2 linked regions of the Diceros bicornis minor genome follow. The protein of the gene in region 1 purifies or fractionates together with the protein of each later gene. This does not show direct contact. Links are inferred from orthologs where the notes say so. Each region holds a gene or a part of one and is shown on either strand. Other genes may lie near its edges.

Region 1 (3,746 bases):
CCCTGCTTCCCCAGGCCTCACACCTTGCCCAGGAGTTGGTGTGCACGCTGGTCCAGCTCCTCCAGATTCCCATGGCGCTCCAGGACCTTGTTGTAGTTGTTGAGCATGATTTCCGCCACCTCGTCTGCCTGCCGCTGGCACTGCTCCAACTCTTTCCCTGCCTGGTCATCAAGCCCAAGGTCAGGGCTGCATGAGGCCCCCATCTGTCCCTCATCCTGAGACCTAGAGGCCTCTTTGCCTCCACTGTGTGTGTGTGTGTGTGTGTGTGTGTGTGTGTGCAGTGTATGAGTTGGGGAAACAACATCTTTCACACGTGCAGAGTGAAAGGCCAGCCTCCTGGCTGTGTGTGGCTCACCTTGGTCTCATAGGCTTCCTCTCCTTGCCCATCAAGGCAGGTCCTAGGTCAGCCTTGGCTTCAAGCATCTCAGCTTACTCTAAGGTGCCTCAGGATGGGACATTCCCAGGACCCCACCCTCCCACAAAGCAGACACTTTGCCCGCCTGCTCTAGGATGGCCTGTACCCAATGTGCACCTGCCCTATGGCTTCCCACTGGCCTAAGAAACAGGGAAAGCAAAGAACAGGGAACCAAGCTACTTGGCTAGAAGCCAGACAAGGAGGAGCTCCACTCCACAGAGCTAGAAAGGTAATTTTGGACCACCATACATCATAGCCTCTGCCTAACCCCACAGACACACAAAAACACAAACTGAGAGCAGATTTCCCTCTTTGGGCTTCTGACTGGTCAGGCCAGTTCTGCCTCATGGCCTAACTCTACATCCACATCAATGCTCGAAGTTGATTCTCTATCTGCCTGGGAACCTCAGCCTTCCTGGCCTCTGGCCTCCAGCCTTTCAGCTAGCCAGGATCTTCACTGGGGTCCAACTCACTGAAACAAGACCAACTCCTGGATCTCCCAGCCTAGGCAGCAGCCTCACCTAACAAAAGAACCCAGCTCATTTCAGAGGACGGGGAAGGGAGGTGCAGAGTCCAAGCGGGGGGAGGTTGAGAGGACAGGAGAGAGGAAGAAAGCATGGGTCACAAGCAATAAAGGAACTGGCCTTTAGACGCATGCAACTGAAAGAGACCCAGGGCAGGAGGCCCTAGTGAGAGCTGGAGGTCCAGAAGCAGGTCCAGGGACATGTCAGGGAGATGAATACCAGTGGATTAACAAACCACAGTAACTGCCTCCTCCCAGCCTTGTCCCCCACAGCCCATCCCAGTTCTCATCTCCTCCCCACAGAGCATCGGCCAACCTCCCTTTCCTGCCAGACTATACTGCCTATTGTCATCAGCAGGTATTTTGGCACTTGACTGAATTCCAGTTAAAACCAGAGAAAGGGAAGGGATCTTGTGGTCACAGAGGGCCACCTACTCAGGCAACAATCCTCATTCAGGATCCTTGCAGCTGCCTTGTGCACAACCTCCAAGTATTCCCAGTATATAAGCCCTACCTCCCCAACTGGACCACAAGCTCCCAGAGGGAAGGCAGGGGCCAATGCCCTGCCTTTGTCTGCCGCCATTCCGGGGGCCCAGCTCAGTGGTGACCGTTGCACAGATTCAGTGAGTGGCTCAACTGCATTATAGCCTTTCCAAAAGCAGCTCTGATTCTCAAGAGATGTTATCCCCTTGTGTTTATCTAGCCTAGCAGGAGTTTCGAGGGGCAGGCATCTGAAACCCAAGTAGGTCAATATTTACCCATGAGCTAGAAAAGCAACCTGCTTTGAGAGGGGGCAGGCGAACCATGACAGAGGGGTGAACTCACAGGCCAGGGGAAGCAGTAACTGGGGAACAAGGAAGATTAATGAAGAGAGCAGGGAAGCTGCGCTCATCTCTACCTTTTCTGAGTCAACCATCATCACTGCTATTGTTACTACTATATTATTCAACAAGGCTCCATTATTTGGAGCTTCTCGCATTCACACAGTCCAAGGCACCCCCACATTCAAATATTCCAAGGCAAAAACCGAGAATGGACAAAGATTCGAAAATGAGAATCACCACTAAAGACTGATGGGGCACTGGATGTTATTGTTTTCTACTCTAAATGCTACAGCTGTTGTTATCTTATTCTCCAACATGGGGTGACATTGGGTCACATTCTCCAGGAGAGCTAGCTGTGCCTCCTGCTGCAGTCTGCAGCCTCTTCCCTCACTGCAAAGCCAGGCCTGTCTGGAGCCAAGATGGGCCCAGGCCTAAAAACACATTTGATCCAGGGAACACAGAGGCCTCAGGCTCAAGTTCCTGGCCCTCCTCGGCCCCACTCAACCAGCGGAAAACGGACACTATACGCACAGGTCTCTGCTGGCACAGTGAGAAATACAGAATTATGGGTGTGGAAGGAAGTAAGCGACCAGAGGGAAAGGCCATGCTGCCTCCTGCCACAGTGAACTCAGCATAGTGCCCGGCACACAGTGGATGTGTGGACAATATTTTCTGAGTGAATTGTGCCTGTTCTTAAGAAGTCAGTATAGGTTGGGGGAAAGAGACATATATGGGACAATCAGAGAAAGTGAAGAGTTAACTGTGAGATACACATAGTGAGAGCTGGAGCTACCACAGAGAGGGGGATTCCTGAGAACTGTGATGGACAGGGTGTGAGCCCTTGATGGATGAGGTGGAACTGGGGCATTCTCGGCATAGAGAGACAGAGACACGCTCGGGACAGTGATGCAGCAGGCAGAAGATAACGGTGTGGGAGCATGATGGGGCCAGAGGAAGCAGTAAAAGTCAAGGAGAGGAAGCTCACTTGGAGGGAGGGATAGAGAGCTAGTGTAGGTTTCTGAGCCAAGGGCAACACTGAAGAGGTGCTTCAGGATAATTTCTCTATTGGTGGTAGACTGGCATGGATGCAAGTGAGAAAACTCAGGGCAGAGAGGCCAGCCAGAAGGGGAGGAGAAGTGCTGTCAGCAACAGTGTGAGGAGATGTCCGCCAGGCGAGCGGGGGGGGGGGGGGGGGGGGGCACGGAGCATAGAGAGGAAGGGTGGGCAAGACAGGCACTTCCCAGCACTGCCAGGAGCCTGCAGGGCCTGAGTTTTTGAGCCGGGGGTAGGGCAAGCAGCAGCGTCATTGGCAGGCAGAGGGTGGTAGTCACACAGGAAATGTTCTTGACAGACCGTTACCCTCTGCACAGAATATTCCTCCTTTGATGCTGAAAACAAAGCTCTCAAACCCCTCCCTGTCCTAACTCTGCTGTCTCCCCTCTCTCTTGGTTAGTGCCTAAGACACTCTATTTCAGCTGTCTGGCCATCGTAGTCAGACGGCCCTGGGCAGCGACGGGGGTATCAACTCCTTCCTGGCTCAGCACTCACGTGAGCTCAGAGACTAAGAGCAGGGCTCTGCATTGCAGCCTTGGGTTCCTTCAAATCCTGCCTCTGCCACTCACCAGCTGAGTGACTGAAGACTGAGGACATGACCTTTCTGACCCTCCACTTCCTCATCTGTAAAGTGGTGACAATGATACCACAGTGTTGGCTAAGGCATGTGACATATTATAAATAAAGTGCTTAGCACAATACCTGACACATACTAAATGTTCAATAAATAACAGCTATTATTATTGATGTAGCTCGTTTCCCTCGCTTTTTTTTTTAGCAGTCAGATCCCAAGAACTACACAATACTTGTGGTCAATAAAACCTCTTAGATATAACAGCCAAGCAAGCTCTTCCTTATTGCAAACTTGTACACCTAATTGTTTATAACCTAAATACAGAGCTTGACACGGGCCTTTGATAATCTGCATCTA
Region 2 (3,746 bases), on another chromosome or scaffold:
CATGGCTTAACAAGCGGTGCGTGGGTGCGTGCCCGGGATCCCAGCTGGCGAACCCCGGGCCGCAGCAGAGCGTGCGCACCCAACCGCTTGGGCCACCAGGCCGGCCCCTATTAATGTTATTAATGGTTGACTCCAATGATCCCTTGAGCCCAGTCGACAACTACATCTTATCAATTCTATCATCAAAGAGATCCCTCCTATCCTCTCCTTCCTTTTAATTTTCACAGTTCCTAACTGCTGTCTCTAATTCCAGTCTCTCCCTTCCAATTCAATTTACACATTCTTAAAAGAATTAAATCCAAATCCCCTTAGTTTAGCACATAAAGCCCTTCATGTTTGGGCCCGAACTTACCTTTCCAACCCCATTTTCCCCTACTTTCTAGAGTCTACCACTCCAGCCAAATTAAATCACTCTACTTTTCTATATAAACCACATGCCTTTCCACTAGCATGCCTTGTTCATTTTATTCCCTCCTGGAATGCTCTCCCATTCATTACCGTCACAAGTTCAAATCCTTTCCACCATCTTTTCAGACCTAGCTCAAATGCCATAATGCCTTCCCCGATCCCTCCCAACTCAAAATAGTCTCTCTCTCCTCTGAATACCTACATAATGTTATTTAAACTTCATCTATAGCACTGATCCCTTTCAACTTTATATTTCGGTTGAAATATGAATATATGAAAGAATCCATGCCAGTTCCTATACTTACTACATAGCCTGATACTCAAATATATGTAGAATGATTTCACAAATAGACATTAAAATTAGATTTAGCCTCAACAAGAAACTTTTAGCCTTGAACCAGAATTTTCTGATCTAACTTGTATTACAGCTCCCTCACAAAAGGAAATTGGAACACAAAGTACTATACTTTCTAACCAGTGGTCACATTAATTTCTTTTTTAATTTCTGGACTTGACATGCTACATATTCTTCTTTCCACTTCCAAATCACTCAGTCTCAAACCCTTCCCATCAGAAACTTCTCACCTCTCAAATTCTGCACTATGTATTTAAATTTAAAAGCAAAGTGATAGATTGTTCTTTAAAATATAAAACATAACTGTAATTCAGGACCAACTAGTTCTATCTATTAACAGAGTCCAGCCACACTCACAAAAGCACAATAATAAACAACAAGGATGATGATCATCATTCTTTCCAAGTAAAGTTGTTGCTGCTGACCTCCTGTTTATAAGGCTCTGAGCTGATTTTTCAGGCACGAGAAACAGCCTCTATCTGACTCATTCAGCTGCAGTCTCACTCAGACCCCAATGGTGGGGATCCAGTTTTAAGACAAGCAAGGACATTCTGAAATCTACCACCAACTCTACCATGTCTTACTTGCTATGTGATTGTGGCCAAGATCCTGAGCTTCTCTATGTATCAGATTTGCTCAGAAGAGTAGCTCAATAGAGATGGAAAACAAAGCCTCATTGGCTTGAAATCCAAAAATATACGCAAATCTTTTGCTACAAAAGACAATGTAAATTGAAATGTTTTCGGTGAATTCTCTTTATTTAAAACAGAAGTCGTTATCTGATTTCCAATTTCACTACGTGAAGAACTGTGTATTAAGTCACCATAACACAAGCACTCTCCACTTCCTTTAATTGAAAGCTGCTGATCTCCAAGAAGCCAGAAGCTCAGCAGAATGTAAACCTAAAGTCTAAATCAGTAAACAACTCCCGATCCAAGCTAGCCAAAGAGGAAGGAGAGATGGGCGGGGGGAAGGCGGATGACAGGAAAAACTCGGCTGACCACTGCGCCAAGTCAAGTCACTCACTGCTCTCGAGGTGACACACACACCCCTTCCCACCCTGGGGCTGTCAGGTCTGCAGTTTTGGCCCTAACATCACGAGGGCAGAACCTGGGAAATAGCTCGAGCTTCCGCTGGGGCTCGGGACCCTCGGGGAGCCCGGGCCTGACAGATGCGGGGATGACAGGCGCCGCCTCCAGAATGGAGAGCCCGAGATGGCGTCAGGTGCGGCCTTGGCCGTAGCCCCGGCCGAGCTCCGCGTCCCGGCAGCCACACCCAGGCCTGACCCCCGGACGGCGCCCGCCCCTCAGCCCAGTCCCCCGGCTCACTGGCTTGGCTGATCCGCTGGATGTTGCCGCTGCACGTCTGGATGATGCTGTTGAAGTCCCGGAGTTGGGGCCCCAAGGGCCCCGGGTTCCGGTACATGTCTAAGGGACCGTAGGACATGACGAGGAGCTGAGACCGACTGGTCCTGCACCGGGCTCCTACCGGAAGCAGCTGCCAGACGGGACCCGCAGACTGACGGGGAAACCAGGAAGGAAAAGGTCTGGGAAGAGGCTGAGGCTGCGTGCGCACTAGTCCCGCCCCCACGCGGCGCGCACGCGTCCGCCCCGCCCCGCCCCGCCCCTCAGTTGCGCGGGCGCCGCTGGAAGTGGTGCGGGGCACAGTAGCTTAGAGACTGGACGCCCCGGAGCTTGGGCTTGAGGGGCGGGGCGATGATGTCAGATAGTTGGGGCTCCGATTGGATGAGCTGCGGTGGCGGTGGTGTTTCTCGCCTGGGCGCGGTGACAGGAGGCAAGAATTTTCGATTAGCATAAAATTGGACCAGATGATCTCAGCCCTAACATGCTATTCTGTTCTTTTCTGAGAATTCACGCCCAAATATGGGAGAATTCGACAACCTTGAAACTCAGATCCGTAACCAAACTCCTGAAATTCCTCACTCTATTTCTATCCTCTAGGGCTTTGATAGTATTTGCGGAGACTTTTCTGGTTTACAAACCACTTTCATTTTTCCCTGCACCCCTCTTCTAAACAATAAAATGATAATAATAATAATAATAAAATTTGAGCACGTACTGTGTGTGAATCCTCGCTGCAATTCACTTGTTTACAAGCTCTTTCACAGCAAGGGACGATGTTCTAACTATATTTTTACCTTCAGAATAAACAATGGACAATCGATTTTTAAAATGTTGAACTACCTCGACAAAGTAACGGTTATTTTCCCTTTAACACAGAGGTTAATTTGCTTTTCTGAGATCTGACTACAAAACCCACACACTAAGCTAAATCCATGGTCATCGCATTACTTCCCTAAAACACATTCTCATATTCCCAAATTCATTCTCCATCAAAACCTCTCCCAAATAGCCTCTTCATCTATATCCCAAACCAGGATTTTTGGAGAACTAGACTCTCAAATTTTAAAAATCATTCCCTTAAGTAATTTGGACTGTATAACCTCATGTTCTTATAGAAGACTGCATTTTGTGAGCTGATGGTAAATGGAAAGACGTGGGTAGGATTTTGGTTTGGGAGGAAATCAAGACAGGGAGAAGTGAAGGGGAACTGGCCATGTTGGTTTCCTGTGTTCTCCACTCCACCCCAGCCCAGCTTGCTTTGCAATCTCTGGGGAATGGCAAAGAGAGGAAGCCAAATGGGTGAATGAGCCTACATTCAGGCTTAGAGTTTTTGTAAGCAAGCCTATCTCTATTTTTTGTTGGAACATTTACAAGAGTACTTCTTTTTTTTTTTTTTGGTGAGGAAGATTAGCCCTGAGCTAACATCTGTTGCCAATCCTCCTCTTTTTGCTGAGGAAGATTGGCCCTGGGCTAACATCCGTGCCCATCGTCCTCTACTTTATATGGGACACCACCAGAGCATGGCTTGACAAGCAGTGCATCGGTCCGTGCCCGGATCTGGGCCTGCGAACCCTGGGCCACCAAAGCAGAGCATGTGAACTTAACTGCTATGCCATCAG

What was found. Proteins that work in one complex are often made in the same cells at the same time.
Region 2: the proteins of VAMP5 (region 1) and STX12 purify together in Homo sapiens (affinity purification with mass spectrometry; 3 studies listed by BioGRID and IntAct, with this or other methods). This does not show direct contact. The link is inferred for Diceros bicornis minor from reciprocal best matches to the Homo sapiens genes VAMP5 and STX12.

The regions. Positions count from the first base shown.
Region 1 is NC_080751.1:4,407,153-4,410,898, forward strand, and holds the start of VAMP5 (vesicle-associated membrane protein 5), read right to left. Parts: upstream 2,948-3,746; 5' UTR 204-2,947; coding exon 24-203; intron 1-23. UniProt on the Homo sapiens protein: May participate in trafficking events that are associated with myogenesis, such as myoblast fusion and/or GLUT4 trafficking.
Region 2 is NC_080752.1:43,290,573-43,294,318, reverse strand, and holds the start of STX12 (syntaxin-12), read right to left. Parts: upstream 2,299-3,746; 5' UTR 2,210-2,298; coding exon 2,092-2,209; intron 1-2,091. UniProt on the Homo sapiens protein: SNARE promoting fusion of transport vesicles with target membranes. Together with SNARE STX6, promotes movement of vesicles from endosomes to the cell membrane, and may therefore function in the endocytic recycling pathway.